Linked DNA regions of Drosophila melanogaster. The protein of the gene in region 3 interacts with the protein of the main gene of each other region in a biochemical or structural test. Each region holds a gene or a part of one and is shown on either strand. Other genes may lie near its edges. The genes, in order: BicC, tral, png and CG34159.

Region 1 (7,931 bases), on a different chromosome or scaffold from region 3:
TGGCCAGCAGCGTGTGAATGGCCGTCAGCAGCTTCTTGCGAGCTCCAAACGCCGCGATACCCAGCTCCATCAGGTTTTCCTCGGTCAGGGTGGTGAACACCTCCAGGTCGATTTCGTTTAGAACGAATATTTCTGAAAGGAGAAATAAAAACTGTAGTTTTCCCAGGTTGTAAATATAAAATAGTTTGATTTTAAATGCTATATGGATGTTGAACTTTATGTAACTTTATCTATGACTGTGAAAAAACGTTTGCGTTAAATAAAACACTCTCCAGTTCAAGCCAGACATATATGATAGCTTTATAAAAGACTTCTAGTACACAGTTGGTAAAAACGGACATGATCGGCGGAGCTACTCACTGATGTAGTGCTCCAGACCCAAACTGGTGAGCAGAGTCTGGATGTCCTTGTGCTTGGCTAGCTGCATCCGTCGGTTGACTGGAGTGGCGTCCAGGAGTCCGGTGGTGGCACTCAGTCCGTAAGGGGAACCCAGTCCTGGTGGCAGCCGCCACCCACTAGATGCTCCTCCACCAGCAGCCCCATTTTCCCCGTTCTCCAGCGGGGCAGGGGCGGGCGAGGTGCTGCTCAAGCCCATTCCCATCCAAGCGGTCGTGGGTGTTCGCAGCTCCCCTGCCACCGGGGTGCGCTCCATGGCTTTGTAGCCCAGGGCCCGTTTCATGTCGAAGTCAAAGGCACGGTGGCCGGAGTGCTTGTTTCCTCCAAGGTCATAGTGCAAACTCCGATAGCTCTCGGCACTGCCGGGCAGGAGGTGGGCTCCTCCGGAGTTACCTCCTCCACCGTTGGAATTACTCAGCCCCAGCAGCACTCCATCGCTAAGGCGTCGTCCCAGACGCGCCCCACCACCACCTCCGCCGCCAACGCCACCACCCTCACTGCCGTAAGTGGAATCTGGCGAATAATGCGCCCGATTTTGGCTTCCCGCGGTGGAGGATGAAGTGGACGACACGGTGCCCGGCAATTGGGCATACGGCGGATACGACTGCTCCAGGGAGGTGGTGCTGCTGCTAAAGCTCTGGTAACCACTGGTATTCTGACTGCAGCTGTTCCGTGGCGAAACAGTCGGCGGTTTGAGAGGCGGCGCCACCGCTCCAGGAACCTGCAGATAGTTGCCATTGTTGCTCTGCCCACCAGCCACCATGGAACGATTCTGAGCCTGTTGGAAGCTGTTGTGCAACTGCATATATTTTTGGGTGGGCGCACACACCCCAGTGGGCGTGGCCAAGCCATTGGCGTTCAACAACAGGTGATTGTTGTTGGCATAGGGCGTCAGTTGGCCAGCCAAGGAGGGCGGCAGCAGCGATGGAGTCTTCGGGCTGTCCACATACCCAGCCAGCAGAGCAGTTAACTGGGTGCGGTAGGCGAGATTAAGGTCTTTGTCCTTTGGCATGAAGTAGTAGTCGGGGATCTCGGGCTTCACGAATGGCGTGGCCAGGCGCAGGATCTCCTGGCGGGCCTCGTAGATTTTGTCTAAGGAGGGTGACAACAACGGATTAATACGGAAATTTAATTCAGCACTTGCTAAATATCTTAAATTGTATAATATATCTAAAAAGTAAGGAAAATATGGGATAAAAATCAAACAATAATGGAAAGTGCAATCGTATATTAATGCAGAATCAACGAAAATCATACACTTTACACATTGCTTTAGAGATCTTACCTATAAACTTCTCCACTCCCTTGACCACAATGGCCAGGGTGCTCTGCCGCTGTTTCTGGCGCAACGTGATGTAGACGCCGTACTTGGTGTTGAGGCTCATTATTTCGGATGCATCGTTGTGGTTGTCCGGAAAGTCAAAAATCAATGCTACGGGCAAATTGCCAAGCAATTGTTGTCGCGCCAAGTAGACGTCGTCGATGCGTCCGCTGATCGTGACCTGGGACTTCTTCAGGGGCTTCACGTTCATGTCGCTCAGATCGGGGAATATGATCTTGGTCTGGGTTCGCTCCATAATGCTCAGCAGATTCACGTTGTTCTTGCCCTTGACGATTTCGTGATGCTGCGGCGAGATCTCCATCTGGACATTCACCAGGATTTGGCTCTAAAAAGGAAAAAGGATTCGCTGATGAGCCTTATTTTGAGTTATCCTTCTCGAACCTACCGCAATACTCTCACAGGCGAAGTTGATCAGCAGCTGCGTGGCATCTCGGACCTGCGCCGATTCCTTCTCGGATCCCTTGACCAAAACCAGCGAGGTATGCAATTTTGGACGCGTGGAGAATATGACCTGAAAGGAGGAAAAATCTTTAAAATATATTCAATAATAATTAAGAGCAACGAAAAAACTGTTTACAAAAATCCTTGGTTGTAATTTAAGGTTGCCAAATTCGAAAATAACGTTTAAGTAACTTTATTACTTTAAATGCGTTCTAAATCACTTAAAAATATATAATAATAACACAACTGCAAAATTAGCCTAATGTAACATCAGTTGATAAAATTATAATGGAGCAATATATAATCACAACTCTCAAGGGTTGGGAAAAAAAAATTTGACATTTTCTATACCCCCTCTTAAATGTATGTATGAATGTATATTACAAAATCTTACCTAAATTAGTTAAACTAATCAAGCCATTATAGTCAAATGCAAATAATATTTGGTAACATGCCATGATTAATTTATAATTAATTTATAATCTTACACTTAGTTGACTCCGACATCTGGAACTCACCTGAACATTGAACTTGGTCTCGATCATCTTGATGTAGGGAGTCTCGTGGTCGGGCTGCGGCTTGTTGGGTCCCATTACGGGCATCTCGAAGGAGATGAGCAGCGGTGTGGAGAGCCGAACGAGAGCCCGGGCTCGCTCCACGCCCTCTAGGCTGCCGCACAGCGACACCTGGTTGGATTTCTCCGTGGGATTGGAGCGATTCGAGTCGGGGAAGTGGATATGGGTATGCGTGTCGTCCATTATGCGCTTGATGTTGTTGCCACCTCGTCCGATGATGTACGAGTGATCCGTGTAGCTGACGTCCATTTTCATGATCACTCGAGTGCCCTGTTCGGAGAAAAATGGGTAACAATTAAAACAGATAAGTTTGTATTATGCTTTGGCTCACTCACCCTGGAGTCAAGACTGCTAAGGATGCGCTCCTTTGCCCGCTGAACCTGATCCACCTTTCCCACAATTCGCACATGGGGATCTTTAAATTATGGGATTTATTTGAAAAATACTCTTGAACATTGAAAATATTTCAATATCCTACCCTTCTTGCTCTTGGCACCAATTTTGAGTCTGCAAGGCCAGCTCACATAAGTATCCGTAGTGTTCATGATCTAGTAAAAGAATATGTTTTGGATATATGGCGAATTCTTTTATATCAAGTCAAAAGAGTCGGTCCTAACAGTATCTTAAAACAAATTGGGTTATACACTGAAATTTTATAGATGCAAAGTCAGATTGCCAAACAAAGACATGAATCAATTAACTTAAAAATTTTGCTCAAAAACTAAATAACTTAATATACTATTGAATAGGAAACATATTATTATATGTTCAATATTTATAAGGCATGGCATTCTGTGTCTCAAAATGAGACAAAAGAAAGTGTGAAGCTAATAGGTGCCCAAAACTTAAAAATATGTACTCACGTCATGGAAAAAATATTCAGCTCCATTCATTCCCTCAATGGAGCTCTCCGCTATCAGAAAAAAGGCAATGTATAATAAGGAATCTATTATTTTTATATATAAAGGCATTACCTTTTATTAACTGTTCCAATTTCTGTCGATCCACCTTGAAACGTTCCGTGTGGAGATCGTCTGGGTTTTGAACGCCCAACTTCATGGCGATGGCGCGTATGTCACTCCAATCGCTATCCACGGAGGAGATCTCGCTCTGCGTCTCGCTGGGGGCTCCACTGCCCACCGAGGTGGTCGATGGAAGGGCGTGAAGACTGGACAGGGATCCAATGGATCCAGCTTCCACCTCCAAGCCCACCATTGGCGGTTTGGCAACATCTGCGGCCGACGGATACATCAGTTTATTGAAAGAGGCACAGGACAACATTGTGGAATTCGGATGATGATGATGATCACTGGATCAGTGGATCGGTCAGTGGATCGAGAAATTCGTCAGAGGTCAACAGGTGTGGGTACCAAAAAGTCGTTTAGTTTTAAAAACCAAGCAAAACGTCCGTCTCAGTTAAGGATTCTGGAAGCCGGTCCGTTGTTTGGTCAGCTTTGTTAGATGATTGCTGCTACTTAATGAAGTAAAGTGTATCTGAATTGATGGGATGAGCTGGTGATGAAAAATGAAAGGTCCGAAATGATGTAACAAGAAAATTGATGTTCGTAATAAGAAGAGAGTGGTTAGAAAGCGAGTCATAGGTAATTTAAAGTGAATATTGAAACACCATATAAAAATTAATTATTTTTATTTTGATAGTCGGTACCATAATTTAAGCAATGCACTTTCCAAAAAAAAAAACGATTTTACCTTTAAATTTAGTTCTCTTTTAATTTTTTGCGGTAAATAGTATTTAACTATCAACTGGAATAAGTACTTTTCACTAACATTAAAAAACTTTCTGTCTTAATTTGAAAATCTGTCTTATAAATTTGTGAGAATAATGCCGCGAAAAGGTGAAATAAAAATTCACTAATTAATATTATTATGGATAACAACATTATTATTGGTTCGCCGCCTGTCGAAAATTCCAAACTTTCTTGTGTGTTCTTTCACATAACCTCTCAAAATGGAGTGCTGCTGCCATGAGGTTCGTACTTTCCCCTTTCTCTCGAGATCCCGAAAACCGTAATTTCACCCGTGTCTTCACTTTCACTTCCTTGTGCCCAAAAACCAATGGCGTAACTTACCGCTGGGAGATCGCTCGGTGATCTCTACTTGAGATTAAATAGGCCCTGGAGGTCCAGACAGATGGCGTGCGAGAGGTCCTGGACGAATTGGATGGCCTCGACGAGGCAGACGTTCATAACAAAATTACGTATTTGTTGAAATCTCTCGACGAAAGGCATTTAAGGTGTGATCTGCGCAATAGAGATCTATATATCAGTATATAGCTGTGTGATTGCGACGGTCTGAGGGGCTTTGTCAGAGTATTGGAAAAATGCAAGTTGGGAAAAATCTCTCTGATTTCTGGGGGACCAGCACTTCTTCTAAGTACGGCTTGAAGGCAACTGAACGCGGCTCTCGATTTCGTCGATCGATTTTGCCCGCTGCTCGACGGCATTTACTTCTAACTGTTGAGCGGATGAATTCCGCAAATCGCTGGCAGGAGAAAATCTGGCGAATATTGTTGTTGCTGGGTCAATGAACCGCTCCCGGAATAAGAGATTCGATTCCATATGTCGAGAGCGAAAAACAAAACAAAGTCGCAGGGAGAGGTGGTGTTCCAGAACTCCAACATAGCTACAACAATTTGCAGAGCAAACGCTTAACAGCGGTTAGAATGTTGCAATGTTAAGTTTGAAATGTTGCCAACCGTTTTCATTCATTTTGGCGCCAGAAAAAACGGTAGAGAAATACGGCACAAAGAGAAACCGACTTTATTCCCGCCAAAAACACGCCACTTACCGTAATGTCAGAAATTCGGATCGTAGCACATACACATAGATATCGCAGGTTAATTTACTTAAACACAATCAATTGTAAAATCTTTTCGACAAATAACACGCTCTTTTCACGTAAAAAAATTGTATATCCGCTTGCTAATTAATTTTGGGCGCAATTAATTTTCCGTCAATTGGTCAAATTAAGGTTCGAATGGGAATTCGGCTGGCAGTCGGTGTATTTTTTCAATGTAACCAAAAAAAATAACCACTATCGAAGTGCGAGTAACAGAAAAACACCACGTGTGTGAAAAACACAAAGGAAAATGCAATGGAGTCTCATGAAAAGCGAAACTGAATTGTTGTCAGAAAATCGTGCACTGCGCGTTAGTTAGTTATATTTGAATATTTTTTAATATTTTATAGCTCTTTTGAATTAATATATTATTAATGGGTTGTGCGCGCCGTGCAGTTGTCGTCATTAAAGCGCGCTGACTATCAAACTAAGCTCGGCATGTGGGTCCCAGTCCCAACTGACCTTCAGATCCAAAAGCTCTGTGTTCTGTGGGGAGTGAAGCCAGTGCACGAACAACCTTAAAAAGCTGCCAGCCAACTGGATAACGGATATTCAGCAATAGCTTTATAACGGGAAACGGAGCTTTTCAAGCTTCTGAAACTCCCCAACCTGCACTTTACCAAAGTATTTATATACAGTGGGTTTTAAAAGTACGCTCACCCTTGTACAACCGGAAATCAAACTTTAAATAAACCAAACTTAAATTACGTAATTAAATGATGACATGTACGAGTAAAAGACGTCAGCAATAGTTATTGAATAGGGGTTACTTTATTTCCTTGCTGCTATTTTACATCACTATTTTGTTTTCTTCAATCTTATTATTACATTTATTCTGGCTTTACACATTTCGGGTTATTTATTGGGGATATGAATATATTATGTGCTATGCATTTGACCGCGTTTTTGATTCTCTTTATAGATCTAAGACTTATCGTTTTTCCTAGCAGCTGGAAACATTCACTGTTTTTTTATCCTACTTTCATATTTCTTGGTTAATACTTTTAATATTTATTCAGTAACATCAAAATGTTTGTCCCATTTTTATGTACATAAAACTAGCTTTTTACATTCTTATACATATGGTTATAGTTTATTATATATATTGGCCATAATTGAAACCATACTGAAATTAAAATTAAAATCCCCTGTCAATGTTTTAATGTAATGGGCATAAATTAGGGAAGACAACTTTCACAACACGATTTGATTACAAAAATCTGGCGGCATGCAGTTTATTATTATATAATTATCTATTTGTATTACTTGTTTTTGCATGTACACCAATTAATTTATATTTCATAAGTTTTATTATTACGTTTTATCATTTTATTTACACTTTAAATATATGTACTGAATTTATAAATTATTCAACATTTATTTTTTATTATTGTTATTTTTTTTTAATATACATTTTCATTTGTTTTTGGGCTACGATTACCCATTGCATACATTGAATTGTGTTTAAGGTAAAGGAACTATTTACCGCTGGATTTTTGTTGGCCAAAAATGTTCAAATAATTCTTTTGCTTTCATCGAGTTTTAATATTGCCGAAACAAGACTTGAAAATAAAGATTCTTTTTCGTTTTAATTTGCTCTATGTATTCGTTGTTTTCTACAAATAAACGCTTGCTATAATAATTAATTTTGCTTTTCATTTCCACAACCGTAAAAAGTTCCTTTCTGTACAGTGGATGTTACAAAATATTAATTTTGTGCTTGGTTTTAAGCTTTTATTTACACATTGACATAATGTCTTCTTCATTCTGAAAGGAGAAAACAAACAAAATAAAGTTATAGTCGATTCTCTCGACTATAAGATACCCGTTACTCAGATGAATACCTTATAATGTTACAAACGATTCCACTAATCTAGAACACTCTTTTACTCTAAAAGTAACGGGTATTAGTATTGACTTAAATTATATTCGGTTGTTTACAATTTTGAAGCTGTCAAAACCCCACTTTAAAATGCACTACGGTACCCGAAAGCTAAGCTCAAGTGCAGTCTAAAGTTCAGCTTGCTGTACACTGTGCACAATTCCTATAACTTTTTGATTTTTTATTTGAATATATTTAACGCTTGATATATAACATAAGAGTTTGAAGTACATAGTATTTATTCTAAGTACATTTTGATTTTCAGTGACTGAGCACACGCATTTTCTCACCCTGTACGTGCCCAGTGCCCAGGCAACTGTGCATTTTTGGTTTGACTTTCCGCATCTCTTAATGTTCTCTTCACTGAGAGCCATTTGTCGTGGCTTATTGTGATCTTTTATTTTTTACAGTAAAGATCTGTTCGAAAGTATCGGGA
Region 2 (7,019 bases), on a different chromosome or scaffold from region 3:
AACCGAGATCAGAGAAAATAAACTGTACGAAAACCGAAAATTTGGGCTTTTCTTTTTGGACAAATTTGCTAATGATTGGTTGTTTTCTTTTTTTTTTTTTGTTGGGGTTTTTTCGTTTAACATTTTCATTCGGGAGACTTCATTCATTCATTGCAGCTGAGCTGGATTGACTTTTTACAATTGTGCTTTTGATAGAAGCGCGTAGCTGCCGATTTTATTTTCTTTTTTTCATGTTTAAAATGCTCTTAAATAATAGTTGTTTTAAATGCTAGTAAAACGGGTCGAGCGTTTGTCGATGTTTTACGCCCACAAGAAATACAATATTACAATCGATTTGTTACTCTTTCATTCAAATAAAAACGTATTAAGTTAGCTTTTATTTTAGATTTGGGAATTCCATGGATTTAATTGGTTTACTCCATTAATTTCATTATTGTTGTTATCGGCTCCTCCGCCAAATCTCCTTGCTCCTCTCCTTGCTAAATGGTTGCTTTCGTTTTGTTTTGTTTTTTGTAGCTTTTCATACTTATGCTTAACTATGTTCTTACTAAATATATGTATGTATGCTGGCGTGCCATTATCTGCTCCTTCTTATCAATGCCGTGCTTTTTGCTCAGCGCAAGGCGTTGGAACCAGCCATTTACACAAAGCCTAACACATGGCCGGTTCGGTTCGGTTCGGTTCGGTTCACATTCACATTCACATTCGCGCTAGTCGCTAATCATTAATCGAATCGTAGAGCGCTTATCATCGCCAAGCACACGGTGGTGGTGGGCGGGCAGCAGCGGAGTGCGCCCCAGGACGTCGTGAGAATTGTAACACTAATTTAATTATACAAATATATTATGCCGCTGGATCCATAACTCGAAATTCCTGATAATAAGAGCCTGTGTGTCGTCGATCGTTCGGGTCACTTGATTGGTTTGCTTCGAATAATTAGCTTTGCAATGAATAGGATATTTACTTTACGCTCTTCTCAATTCGCATCTATCAATTTGTGGTTTGTTGGTTGTGGTTGGTGTATATTTAAAGTGGCTTTCCACTGGCCGGGCGGCACTATTGTGCTGCAAAAGTAAACAGACACACATGTAAACAAACATGTTGCAAATGAAGTGCTTAGATGTAATTGCTACTCACAAACTGCCGCCACCTGTTGCGTCTGCTCTGGCAAGAGGGACGTCGACTTTGTCGTCGCGGTTGTGGCATTTGGTGCACTGGAGTCCGTGGCATTGGATCCGTGGCCAGCAGCATTGTTGGCCGCCTTCAGCGCAGCAGCCGTGTTGCCATTGGTGATGTTTGGCATTCCGTTTCCGCCACGACCGCCGCCGTTGTTGCGATTGTTGCTCCTGTTTCGGAAGTTTCCGCCGCCGCCACCCATGCGATAATTGTTCCTGTTGTAGCCTGGCGCTCCTCCATATCCCGAGTTAATGCCGCCGTTGCCATTATTGTTGTAGTATTGGTTGCGTCCGCGGTAACTGCTTGGAATACATTCAGTTGATGAGCCACACTGCATTTGCTTGATTGCTTCGATTGGACTTACCTGCCACGTCGTGTGGAGGACACTCCGAAGGTCTCCGTGTTCAACTTGCGCTCCTGGCGCCAATCGTTCTTCTTGTTCTTGCTGCGATCCTGGGCAGCCTCGCACGAGATGTTGTCGAAGAACGATTTGGTCTTGTCGTAGCACACAGCAACATCATCCTCCTCAGGCTCGTGCTCTCCAGCGCCGGTCTCGTTGCCAGAATCATCCTTCTTGTCGGTCTCGCCATTCAGCTGCAAGCAGATGATGCAAATAGTGAGTAACTCTTAAAACGATCGTATAGAAAATGTTACTTAAACTGAACTTAAACAAGCAATAAATAAAGAAGAAGATTTACCTTATTTGTTAATAAACTGCTCTTATTCATTTAGAACTAATTTGTAGTGTATAAAAATAAAAAGTGTATGTGGACTTACTGTGTGAACGCCTTCAACCTTCTCACCCACCTGCTCATTGGTTGCAGTTGCAGTGGCGGCCGTTGCATTGGTGGCTGGCTTGGGTGCACCATCCTCGGCCACCTTGAGCTTGGCCAGTTGGGAGCGCAGTTCCTCGAACTTGTTGTTTGCCTGCTCGAAATCGAAGTCGCCCTCGAACTTGATCTTGTTCCGCGGCTTGTTCTGATTATTGGCCGACTGCGGACGATAGCCCTGCAAAATGTGAAAGCCAGGGTTTAATAAACCATCTATAGCAGTGTGAGTCACCAGCAGGTGTACCTGATTGGGTCGCATGGGGCCGCGGGATCCCATGCCGCGGTTGCGCATGTTCATCATGTTGTTCGAGTTCTGGTTGCCGCGATGCATGTTCCAGGCCGGGTTGTTTCCACCTCCGTTTCCACCGCCGCCGCCGCTGCCGCCGTTTCCTCCTCGCTGCTGCTGTTGCATTCCGTTGCCGCCGCCGCGATTGCGCTGATTATTATTATTGTTGTTGTAGTTGTTGCTATAGTTGTTGTCCATTTGACGTCCGGAGTCCCGACGATCCCGCTGCTGGTTATAGAAGTCCGTTCCACTGCCGCCGCCTCGTTGCTGCTGCTGCTGCATATTGTTGTGGCTGGGTCCGCCACGTTGCTGATGCTGCTGATTCTGTTGCTGCTGGTGGTTCTGGCGCTTATGTCCTGCATCGCGTCCGTTGCCACCCTGGCCAGCGTTCTGTTGCTGGTGCAGCTGCTGCTGCTGAGTCAGCTCCGCCGTGGGACTCACAATCAGGCTAATGGGCGTCGTCGATCGCGAGGCACCGGCCAGCATGTCTAGAACGGAAACTGTACACATATAGAGGACGCAACGAGGACGAAAGTAAAGGAGAGAGTAATGCGTGTGGGCACCAAAAACATTAGTCCAAACAAATACTTGTGTCAAATACTTTGTATCAAAAGGTGACATTAACTATTTTAAAGGGCTGAGTAAAAGAGCGTAATTTTTAAGCATTTAAATCGACATGCTCGCTTATCGGATAAAGCCACAAAATGAACCATATCTTAAACTATTCCCGGAATTTGCGTTTTTGAAAATAGCAATCGCTTTTTAGCAGGAAACGAATTTTGATTTAAGATCACAAATGAGAAGTTCTACTTGTGTGCAATGTAATTTTAGTAATGTGTGGTCTACACCAACTCACTTGGCTGTTTCTGCTGCTGGGGCTTCGGTTGCTGCTGATTGCCACCGATGTGCATGAAGGGTCCGCTGCCCGGAGCACCGGAACCGGGTGCAAGCGATCCGCCCGCATTGCCCACCATGTTGGCCAGATTGGGACCGCCGAGGTTGCCGAACGGATTGCCATTGCCGTAGCCGGGTCCGCCGCCGCCAGGAGCTCCTGCTCCACCAGCACCACCACTGCCTCCACCGCTTGGCATTTGGGGCGGTTGCTGCGACGGCACCTGTTGCTGCTGCGGCGGACCGCTCATCCCGCTGGGCATGGGGAAGTGCTGCGGCATCTGGGGCGGTCCGTTCTGGAGCTGCGCCTGCATGATCGCCGGGTCATTGTGGTGCGGCAGCGTGTGGTTGTTGACAACGCGAATGTCCTTGATGTCCGAGCCACGGAATAGGATGTAGTCGTAGATCTGCGATTGCGGCGCTATCTGGAACTGGGTGTCCCGATCTTCTGTACCGAAGGATCGCACTGAAAAAGAAAAGAGGGTTAAAATGAATTGAGTTATAATATTAAATCGTATAAAGAGTACAATAGTGAACATTTTTTCCGTAAAGTTTTCTTATCCCAGCCGCCATTTTTATTCCATTGCTTTAAGAAAGATCTTTCACAAAACTAAACTTTTAAATTTTTAAATTTTTCCATTGCAAATAAGCTACCTTTTTTGCTTAACCGGTATTCTAAGTCGGTTTTTAAAAGTGCTCCATCTAATAAGTGGAACTTTCCGAGCCCACATCTTTCAAGTTTATATTCCAATTGTTTTAAAATGAATGCACCGCATTATATAATGCAATTGTTCAAAAGACGAATTACTTGGATTGCGGCAAACTTGTAAACCCATTAAGGTTAGGCCGCGCTTCCAATTTAACCTCAACTGGGGAACGCATGTTTTGCCGGTATTTCTCCGCTCTCCGTTCCTCCTTTTCGACTTCCAGGGCACTGACATCCGTAACGGGAGCCCTTGGATCCCGTTATCTGGCGCCAAATCGAAATTGTATTTGCAAATAAACAAATTGCATTGGGGCCTTGCTGGTGCTCGTTACTTTGTGCGCGGGTGTATGTGTGCCAAGTAAATTGCAAAAGCAACACTGTACAACAACAACCAAAGACAAAAACAGGCCAAAGCCAACATGACAAACAAAAAGCATAAGTGGGAGAGCGAGAGACGGCTGTCGAAATGGGTAATGGAGAGAGCGGTGGCGGCAATTGCACTCACCGTCTCCACGAGTATGAAATTACTGTAAAAACTAACAAAAAGAAACGAACCAAAAGGAAAGAAAGAGTAGAGCCACCAACACAAGAGAAATGGACAGAATCCATTTTCTTTTGCGATGAACCGTTTTTTTACACGATTTTTTTTTTCTTTTTTTTTGGCGCAGATTACGGCACCCACATATGTATATCCCGTATATGTACATATATGGGCGACGTGGGCGATTTTCGTATTAAATACTTACCACTCGAGAGCGCAATGGTGCACTCCTGCGGATCCACCGTGTACAGGCGGCCCTCGTATCGAATGTCCGCCTTGGAAATGAGGCTGATTTTGGAGCCCAACTCCGGTAATCCCCCGCTCATCTTGAACTACTTCGATGCTTCACTGCGCACTCACGCCGAAAATACAAACTATTATTAAATGTTTCTGCCAACAGGCACACGAATTTCTCTGTCAAAAGCAAACAATTATAGCGAGCGCGACGACAACGATTTCTCGACGGTTTCAGTCTCTGCTCTTTTACTTTTTTTCCGTCTTTTTTTCACACGCAATTGCGTTCCAGTTCCAGGGCGAATTTGCGGCCAATCGCCTTCTAGCCGCGTTTGCTTTATCAAGCTGTGTTTTTGCACAAGTGCGACAAGCGCTTTTCCAATGTCTGTGATGCTGCACACACGGCTCCAAATGTGAAAATTGCAATTTTCGATGCACAAATCTTTGCTCCGTCCGTCTGCGAAAACCTACCCGTCGAAAATGAACGATGCATACGAGCGAGAGCCTCGACGGTGTTGGAAAGCGCGGTTGTATAGCAGCGGCGGCGGCAGCGAAATAATAATAATAACTGTTTATGTGCAAAACTGTGCAAAATATAAAAGGGGACGCTTCAAAAGGTTGCCAAAAGTAAATAAGACTATTTCATTATTTATCCGTTCTCTGTTTGCATTAAAATTCAAATTTTATCCTCTTTCACAGGGCAGCCCTACTTGCAACCCTAAATACAACTCTGGAAAGTGAGCACGCATCCCTGGCTCTTCGGCTTCCCTCGGCGCATTTTTTTCAAAGCGAAACGGCAGAAAAATGCTCTGGCATTTTACGGATTTCTAATTGTATTATTTATGTGAGAAAATTGCAAATAAAAGTGAGTCCATCATGCCACCCAAGATGGAGCCGATTAGCGTGCGCACCGCGCGTCTGAACAACCTGATTCTGGGCAAAGGAGCTGGCGTCTGTGCGAAGCCCGCTGGAAGCGCCTCCGGATCAGGTATTCCCGCCTCCACCAGGAGAAGCATTGTACCCGTGAGCACCACTAGCGCCGCCGTGGCCGAGGCCATCTGCCGCGAGGGACTCCTGGACGCCTTCTGTCTGCTGTACAACGAGTGCGACAAGGATACGCTGAAGAAGCGCGATCGCAACATCGCCGAGTTTGTCAACAAATGTGAGTCAACTGCATTGGTCAGCAGGGTTTTCGGATGGAGTATCTACCATTCTATAGAAATGGAACTCAGAAGCCACATTTTTACTTCCTCGGGTCAGAGAATCTACTTTTGCTAATCATATTCCATTATTAAAGCCCACAAAATTATTGGGAGTAGAATCTCTTATAGATTTACCTGTATGTTCCGGTTTCCCTCCTTGAAAATAGAGCTCATGCCTAGTTACCCATTATATTACTATCTAATTTCCTACTCCAGTTCGTCCCATCATAGAGGAGACCCGCAAACTCAGGGTCAACGCAGATGACTTCCTCATCAAGACGCTTATTGGCCAAGGATACTTTGGCAACGTTCACCTGGTGGTGGAGCGGCAAACCAACGACATATACGCCATGAAGAAGATCAAAAAGTCGGTGGTGACGACGTCACAAGTCAAGGAGGAGCGCGATATCATGTCCATTCGCAACTCTGAATGGCTAATCAATCTGCAGTATGCCTTTCAGGTTTGTTATTTCCACATTTTCGCATATTTCAGTACTTGAATTAACTTATCACTTAGGATAACGACAATCTGTACCTGGTCATGGAGTACATGCCCGGCGGAGACCTTCTCAGCTTGATGTCACGCCACGGCCCTTTCGATGAGGACTTGGCTCGTTTCTATCTGGCCGAGCTCACAGTGGCCCTGCACACATTGCACGAGATGGGCTATGTGCATCGGGATATAAAGCCTGAAAATATACTGATTGATCGTTTTGGCCATATTAAACTGGCTGATTTCGGTAATGCCGCTGCCTTGGATCGCGATGGCCATGTGCTGAGTTTGTCGCCGGTGGGAACACCGGATTACATAGCTCCAGAGCTGCTGCAAACCATATCCACCTACAAGCTGTCCAAGTCGATGCACGATGTGAGTAGAATTGTACGATCGCAGAGTTTGGTTTGGAAAGTTCATAGCTAAAACAAGAACTCATTTTGTAGGTCAGCTGCGATTATTGGTCCATGGGCATTATAGGATATGAGTTAATATGCGAGACAACACCTTTTCACGAGGACAATGTACACGAGACATACTCCAAGATTCTCTCCCATTGCGAGGAGAGTCACCTTAAAGAGCTCATCAGCTTTCCCGCCGACTTGAAGGTGTCTGTTAACTATAGAAATCTTATTGAGTCACTGGTCACAAATCCTTCGA
Region 3 (3,645 bases):
GAAGGAGCTTGAGCTACTGCTGGACGATGGCGACGGGCGCGACGAGAAGCAACACTTCAGTCTGACCAAAATCCTCAAGAAGGAGGAGCAAGAAGCGAGCGGTTCAAAGCGAAAGCGTCGTCAGAAGTTAAAGAAATCGAAAAATCAGCCGCAGAATGCGGAGAAGCTGGACGACGACTTCCAGGTAAACCTGAATGATAATCGCTTCAGTGCCGTTTACAAGTCGCACGAGTACAACATCGATCCCACCCACTCCCATTACAAGCCCACCAAGGGCATGCAGCAGATCATCGGCGAGAAGTTAAAGCGCAGAAAGGAGCAGGGGGAGGGCGGCGCTGCAAACGGCGATGCGGATGGGGATGAGCAGGTAGCCCCCAAGAGGAGTAAGCAGCAGCTGGAGCAGAACGCCCTGGTAAAGAGTCTGAAGCGTAAGATCCAGCTGCAGCAGCAGGGCCAGAAGCTTTAGAGGATTAATGTTACTGTACAATAGGTGAACAAATGTAAATTAAAGACTACGTTAATGACATTGAGCGAGACTGTTTTGGAATATACATTATATACTGTTTATAGCTGACAGATCCCCTGGCAAAAGCACAGGCGCACACAAAGCACAGCACACACCTTAATTTATCGCTTAAGCTAGCCTAGTTCTTAAGTACAATGAAATATTTGTTGAGGTCTCCTCGTGCTGGTGAGCTGACCATTGGCTTCCGTTAGTAGCTGTAGCTGAAGTAATGCTTGTAGAGGGTCACAGTCATGCCGGCGTCGAGGTGGAAGATGTCTGGTAGGCAGATGCGGCGCTCCTGCTCGTAAACGACCATCAGCTCGCAAACTTGCGCCCACACGGGATCGTAGAGACGCCGGATGAGCTGGCAGTCGAGCCGGGGGCGGACCAGCGCCTGGACTACGGTGTGCAGTAGGGCAGGGGTGGCGTTCTTGTCGAGAAACGCGGCGAAGGGGCTGCGTCCGAGGCACAGCTCGTAGAGGACTAGCCCCAGTGACCACACGTCCGACTTGAAATCCACCTTGCCCTGGCTGGACATCGCCTCCGGGGCCATGTACATGGGCGTGCCCATGCCCGCCTGCAGTTGAGTGCTGGGCGCATGAACGTTCGCGATCCCAAAGTCGGCGATCTTGACGCGGTCGTTGGCGTCGAGGAGCATGTTCTCGGGCTTGATGTCTCGGTGGATGACGCAGCGGATGTGCAGGTACTCGAGTCCCACTACCATGTCGCGGAAGTAGCCCATCAGCCGCTCCTGATTGACTCCCCCGGTGCCTGACGGCAGCTGCTGGATGACATCCCTCAAGGTGCCGTTGGGCACGTACTCCATCACGATGTTCACAGTGCCCGCGTGGCTAAAGGAGCGCAGGAACTCAACGATGTGCGGGTGGCGCAGCTGCGAGATGATGTACACCTCCTCCTTGATCAATCCCAACTCTGTCTTCGGATTCCGGACGATGATCCGCTTCACGCACACCTTCCTCTCCGGCTGTCCGCGCACCTCGTTTTGGTGGCAGAGGAAGACCCGGCCAAAGGTGCCCTGGCCCAGCACCCTTACCGCACGCAGCTTAGAGTCACCCAGTTCCATCTCGAGTGCGCAGAGTTCCGAAAGCGTAATCCGCGATCCCGCCTTGATGTACAGTTAGCCAGCAAAAGCGCAAGCGCGCCATCTATCGATTGCTTCGAAACAAGAGATGCACAGTTCCATCGGAAAAAGCCGAAAACTCGGAACTTCGGAAACCCCATATGAAAATTGCTCATCTGGCCAGCAGCAACAGTGCTCAATGAAAGTAAGTTATTAGAGTCTGGTTAATTAATCAAACTAACGCATCGTGAACTAACCCCATTCAAAAAGTCCATCCATGTGAAAAGTATGACTATCCTAAATTTTTATTTATTTTATTTAACAAAATTAAATATAGTATACAATACTAAACCTAATTAAATTTAATGAGTACTAGCTACGGGGGCCTTCGACTCGAGACTTATGGGTTAATTGCTTTATATAATAAACTTAGCTTTTTGGACAAATTTGTAAATTTTTGAGATATTTTCACAGGATGGGATACTTAAACAATTCGAGAGACTATGTGTACCAAATAAGTGAGATCTAATTGAGTGCAATTGACTGCAGGCGTTGAGAATATGGTCAACGGTGAGCTCGTCCCCGCATAGTTGGCATGTTGGTCGCGCCGATCTCATCAGTAAGTGTTGATGTGTGGATTGGGTGTGCCCGATGCGTAGACGGATAAAGGTCGCGCATTCCCGTTTATGTACGTTCGTTGGTGGCTTGAACATGATGCAATTCGGATTGATAGACTGGTACCTGTGCATGAAGAGTGCCCATTCGGAGAGTTTCTTTTCTTTGAGGTATAACTTGATTCGACTTTTTAGGTCCTTGGAGTTAAACGGAGTGAACAGGATTGATGGTGTAAGCCTCATCTCTTGGGCGGCTTTGTCAGCAAGTTCATTCCCATGAATACCTTGATGACTGGGAACCCAGAGTAAGGTGATTTTTTTTGGGTGAGAACTTAGAATGTGCCTAACTTCTTGTGTTGTGGGGTCATTATGGTTCCAGTTGCGTATAGCGGAAAGAGAGGAGAGGCTGTCTGTGCAGATAACAGATTTTCCAGCGTTTTTGGAAGCGAATTGGCATGCTTTGAGAATGGCGAAAGCTTCGGCTGTAAATATGGAGTTGTAGGACGGAAGCCTACCTCCTGCAATTATTTTACGGTTAGAGTCAACAACCGCAAAAGTAGTTGCGCCGGTGACTTTAGAACCATCGGTGTAGATCCAGTTTTTCACACCAAGATCTTCTTGTGCGCTCATAAAACGTTTTTGGTATTCTAGGCGACCTGTATCCTTTTTGGCAGCATTGTATATTTGAAGGTTTATGTTAGGCTGTTTGGAACCCCAAAGTGCTGGCGATTTGAAGGGCCTCCTGGGCTTAGGCAGGGGAAGGTCAAGTAGCTTGATGTAGTTGGCGCAACGTCTTAGGGTGGATATGCACTTGAATTTCCGTTTTTGTTTAAATATGGCTCCGAAGTCTTTGGTTAGCAGGCAGTTTGACGTGGTGTACAGCTTCGGGATAAGCATCAATGTAGTTTCTTCTACGCGTGATTGGATACTCGGGAGACCCGATTCTGCCAATGTGCACGCTACTGGAGATGTGGGAAATGCGTGAATGGCGCGACGGACCGCTCCGTGATATGGGACTTGTAGCTTTTTTAAGTGTGATTTAGCACACCAACCGAAGATTGGCAGTCCGTAGTCAATTTTAGATAGCATTAAAGCGCGCGTTCGGCATTCCACAGTCTTCGGGTGGAGACGTGTTTCTTTCAAGCTACGAATAGCAAGTTCTAAAAACTACAACAGTATAGTGAAAGTTAAACACAAAGTGTAAAGTGCAGTTTGCACAACTAACAATTATTGACTATAGTAATTATTTACTAAAATAAATAATTATTCCATATTGTTCTGGTAATTGTTATATGTGGACTTAGAACAATGAATCAAAACGACATACGTTCTCAGCGACAATGTGAACAAGACGAGCGCCGGCTCTCTTTACAACGCAACAATGCATACTTTTCTTTCGTCTCACCGCAAATCGGTGATCGAGCACCCTCACCTTCAACTAACTC
Region 4 (4,338 bases), on a different chromosome or scaffold from region 3:
AGAAGGCCAACCATTATGTCAACGGTGGTGACTTCGGCAACCGCGAGGACCAGATCAACCGTCTGCTGCGCAAGATGGTCTAAGGACTCCTTTTGATTTATGTGCTGAAACGACAACTGCAGCGGTTCGATGTAAACAGTGAGAGAAATAAAAGTTACTTTTATAAACCCACGAAATGCCGTTCAGTACAAAAACGCAGTGTTTTCGCTTCGATTCGCTGATTTAGTCATTGCGACTTAAATTGGAAAATATCAGTGAAGAGAGAGAGGACTTTTTTAAGGAACGTTTAGTTAAATGTACCAATAGTTTCATAACAACTTTAAATTTAGTAATTTTCTTTCATTTTAATGTTACATTTTTACTTTAAAGAATTCTGCGGTACTCCAGAAAGTCTTGCCCTTTGCTAAGATTAACCCCACGTTCAGTATAATTTTTTGGTTTGCTAATCGTTAATAATTCGATGTATAGCAATATTTAAATTTAAAATTTAGACAGTTTGCTTTTGTAGGCCCATTATTTGAAATGAAAACACAGGATTCTTGTTAATTTGTCTACGCTCTAGATTGTTTATTGTTGTTCTGGTCAAATTTTAAGCGCGCTTAGTGCACAACACTTAAATGCAGATAGCAAGCTAGATTCAGGGTGCCAGGGATAAAAATCGTTTGCCAATGTACACTTTATTGAATCATGGTTTGCCTTTCAGCTGGCAGTGGATTTAAATCGTTTTTTTTTTTTTTACACACACAATAGTCCAAAGCAGTTAGCAAACAAACATAAATTGTAAATTCCAATAGCATGGAAATTAGTCAATAATCGGGAGGAAGCTGGCACCCTTTTTAAATGTATAATTTAATTAATCGTTACCACATGGAGCACATGCCGTTGTCCGCTGTTCAGATTCCCGCTTCTACTGGTGTCCACCGGCCTGCGTGGTGGTCACATGGATGTTCTGCACCAGGCGCTGGCCCCAGTACTCCTCCAAATCGAATGGCTTAAAGTTCTTCAGCTGATTGTCGGATTCGTTGCAGTACAGCACAGGTGGACCCTGTTCGTAGACCTGGAGAGAGAGCAAAGCATGAAGAGCAACCGACAATTTGGACCGGGGACCGCGAATCTCAATGGTTTTCACCATCAAAATGCTCTTGAATATTTTAGAAAGATACCTAAAGGTAACTTGTTGGACTCGAGGTTGGCTATTTCTAAACTAGATCTTGATGCCTAAAATGCATAGAATGATCCTGCTGATCGAAATTGGAATTATCCACTATCGTTTCCTATTCTTCTAAAGAAAAGATTGGACTGCAAAGTCTGAATAACGAGCAAGTGTTCACGGTCCCTGATGTCCGCGTGCGAAAAGCGAAGCAGGGTGACAAAGGAGCGGCCTTTTGGATCCAAGTAAGCTGCTCACCTTGATCCATGCCCCCCGGATGTACCGGATGAGCTCATCGTGCTGCGAGATTGGCAGGCTCTGTGGTTGCTGTTGTTGCTGCTGCTGTCCGGCGGCGGAGGCGTAGAGCGGATTGCTGTTGTTATGGCCACCGACGGACGGAGAGTTTCCGGCACTGTGGTTATTGTATCCCGGCGAATTGGACGCCCCCGCCGCCGAATTGTTGTTATGGTGGTGATGGTAGCTGTGCGGCGCATTGTGCCCGCTGTTCTGCCGCCTAATGTTGTAGGGATAGCGTCTAAAGCGTAAATAATAATATATTTAGTTCTTATCATTAACTTTATGAAAGCGAAGCAAACTCCTTGATTGAAAGCTGCACTGTATTTGTTGTGCTGATATTAAAAAAAAAAAACTTTTTATGACCATGACCTACTTTAAGCATTATTTTAAATACAGTTTAGCAAATGAGTTTTCCAAATTAACCAATTTACACTTTAATATGAACTTCAAAAACTGTCTTTTGAAATTCCTGAATTATTAAGATCCTATGGCATCTATATATGCTGGTTAATAACCTGCTAATCAAAGTAATTAGGTTAGAAATGCTTCTTCCCCAATATTTTTAATATTTAATTCGCAGTTTTATATATAACAAAATAGCAGTAACGGTTAATCGTTTGGAAGATCGCACATACATACATACATGCGTATGTGTGTAAACACAGTCTTTTGTCGCTTGACGCACACAGGTTAAATTCGAGCGAAAGTAACGATTTTGGGTGCGTGCACTGTATATCCAAATACATTACCCATTATTGCGATCCATGTTGTCAGGTGCTTGAGTAAAATTAATCTCCCCAAGTTGTCTTGTTTATCGCCGAAAATTTATTTATATTCCGTATAAATCTTTTCTCTTCAGTCGCAGTGTGACCGCGGCTCAATGGTCCACCTATACCAAGAAATTATACCAAAATAATGGTTTATTGGCGCCCATCGGTTCGAATACCCCTAACTCCATTCAAACGGATTTAAGTTAATAAATTCAAAAATATTAATTAAATAACATTTAATGTACAAATAAATGTTATCTGGTTTAATTATATTCTCCAGAGAATGATAAGTATAGTTATAAAAGTAATTTATCAACAGATTTTTAAATTGTAGTCACTTAAATTCCATTAAATATCCGTTTCTCTTTATGATTTAAACGTTATTAATACGATATAATTATTTTATTCCGCAACAATAACTTTTAAATGCCACTTTTGTGTTCCCTTTCACTATGAACAATGATATTCAAAAATTATCTAGCTTGAATTCAATGACGTGCTAAAATGACATCATTTTATTACCATTAAAGACCCTAAAAAGATATTTGCTAAAAACGCAGTTCGAAACATTTTTGTCATTTATTTGGAAGTGAGTCAACAGATAAGGGAATGTACATTCATAGTTCATTGTTTAGTTTCTTTTTCTTTTTTGCTTGAAATATCCGGTTGGACTCGTTCCGGATGCCATAGTCATCAGTACATTTATTTTTGTAAAATGCATAACATATTTTCAACTATCTCTAAAGTAAAGAAAGTTCCACGTACATATATTACAATACAAGAAATGATAAAAGAGATAAAAGTATCCGTCGAGCATCCATTTACAGATCATTTACAATAGTTCAACACGTAGATCTAGATATAATGATGGTAAAACGTGCCATTCATCTTGAGCATTCAATTCTTTACAACACATTTTAGCGCCTTCATTCAATTAAACTTATGCTGCGCAAATCCCACTTAGTTCGGGCTTCGTAACACTTGCAAGTAGCAGATAGATTAAAGTCTTTTCTATTACACACACATATATATAAAATCTTCAACCTTAGTCGAATGAGTTAAGCTGCTCCTGCATCCGCAGACGCAATGGTTTTCTAAATAGTTTGGCGCGCCTTTTCCTTTTCGGAAAAAGGACTCGATTTTTGGCAACTCACGGCAAGCATTCCTTTAGCACTCTCATAGATCATCATCGCCGATGCCCTCGAACGCACCGTTGGCCACGCGTGCTCCATTGTCCACCACGTCGTTGCGGAAGAATACGGCTCCGAAGGTGCGCGATGTAGTCAACCTGGGTTTGGATCTGGGCGCCGAATCTTCGGACAGAAACCTAACTGGCGGCGTTGTGGGCGCAGTGGATGTAGAACACGTGGAGGATGCCCATGTCGACGTGGAACAGGTTGAGCTGGGTGTTGATGAGGACGACGTGACTGCATTCTGTTCCTGCTCCTCATCGCTATTCTGATCCTTTCCACTGCCAGCGCCTCGCTGTAACAACTCGTCGACCATGGCCTGCAGGCACACGGACATCAGCATGGCCTGATCACTGTTAATAGTGATCCAGCGCAGCGTCTGCTTGCCAATCAGATATTCAAAGGCCAGCTGGAGATGCGTGGGTTCCAGCCGCGATTCCAGCGTAATGTGTGTAACGCTGACGCGCCACGAGCGCATCCTAGTCACCCGGAACTTCGTCTCGTAGATCTTAACGCCACGTGCCGTGCGCAGAGCCAACTCCTTGTTGCCAATGCTAATTAACGCCATTGTGTCCGGCTCCGGATAGTCCACCTGCGCCTCATCGAACTGCAGGCAGCCGTAGGAGGGCAGCTGACGCACCAGGTCCATGTACTCACGCGCTCTTCCCTGCATCTGCAGGCTGTTCAGTTGGCGACCCTCGCCGGGCGTACAGATGACCACCCACTCGCGGTTCACGTCCGCAACGGTCTGGTTGTAGAGCAAATTCAATGCCACTTTGCTTCCAGTTAGCTTGGCATCTCTACTGGAGTCCCAGTAGCAGGTACGCAGCAGCAGTTCGCAGGGCTGTACATGCAGACGCGTTATATACGGCGACTCGAAATCCATGAGGCGTCGCACCAGGTGCAGTTCGCCGGATTTCCTTTGACGTCG

What was found.
Region 1: of the proteins of png (region 3) and BicC, one has a biochemical effect on the other in vitro, tested with the Drosophila melanogaster proteins (one study listed by BioGRID).
Region 2: of the proteins of png (region 3) and tral, one has a biochemical effect on the other in vitro, tested with the Drosophila melanogaster proteins (one study listed by BioGRID).
Region 4: of the proteins of png (region 3) and CG34159, one has a biochemical effect on the other in vitro, tested with the Drosophila melanogaster proteins (one study listed by BioGRID).

What each region holds. Positions count from the first base shown.
Region 1 is NT_033779.5:16,040,159-16,048,089, reverse strand, and holds the start of BicC (bicaudal C), read right to left. Parts: upstream 6,044-7,931; 5' UTR 5,563-6,043; intron 5,174-5,562; exon of another isoform or gene 5,016-5,173; 5' UTR 5,004-5,015; coding exon of another isoform or gene 4,869-5,003; 5' UTR 4,845-4,868; intron 4,267-4,844; 5' UTR 4,036-4,266; coding exon 3,729-4,035; intron 3,668-3,728; coding exon 3,618-3,667; intron 3,539-3,617; exon of another isoform or gene 3,303-3,538; coding exon 3,233-3,302; intron 3,170-3,232; coding exon 3,090-3,169; intron 3,025-3,089; coding exon 2,698-3,024; intron 2,250-2,697; coding exon 2,124-2,249; intron 2,064-2,123; coding exon 1,682-2,063; intron 1,489-1,681; coding exon 361-1,488; intron 133-360; coding exon 1-132. Other genes in the region: CG45084 (uncharacterized protein), read right to left, coding at 4,869-5,003. UniProt on the Drosophila melanogaster protein: RNA-binding protein that is involved in oogenesis. Required for correct targeting of the migrating anterior follicle cells and the establishment of anterior-posterior polarity in the oocyte. May act as translational repressor of oskar during oogenesis.
Region 2 is NT_037436.4:12,513,189-12,520,207, reverse strand, and holds tral (trailer hitch), read right to left. Parts: upstream 5,150-7,019; 5' UTR 4,757-5,149; coding exon 4,636-4,756; intron 3,650-4,635; coding exon 3,149-3,649; intron 2,793-3,148; coding exon 2,251-2,792; intron 2,185-2,250; coding exon 1,954-2,184; intron 1,771-1,953; coding exon 1,541-1,770; intron 1,479-1,540; coding exon 1,138-1,478; intron 1,065-1,137; coding exon 1,057-1,064; 3' UTR 513-1,056; downstream 1-512. Other genes in the region: sti (sticky), read left to right, coding at 5,541-5,826, 6,083-6,327, 6,384-6,746, 6,806-7,019.
Region 3 is NC_004354.4:1,355,945-1,359,589, forward strand, and holds png (pan gu), read right to left. Parts: upstream 1,658-3,645; 5' UTR 1,590-1,657; coding exon 714-1,589; 3' UTR 544-713; downstream 1-543. Other genes in the region: CG11417 (uncharacterized protein), read left to right, coding at 1-466.
Region 4 is NT_033779.5:10,201,976-10,206,313, forward strand, and holds CG34159 (uncharacterized protein), read right to left. Parts: upstream 2,343-4,338; 5' UTR 2,214-2,342; coding exon 2,197-2,213; intron 1,686-2,196; coding exon 1,409-1,685; intron 1,058-1,408; coding exon 908-1,057; 3' UTR 545-907; downstream 1-544. Other genes in the region: RpL7 (ribosomal protein L7), read left to right, coding at 1-83; Snx17 (sorting nexin 17), read right to left, coding at 3,394-4,338.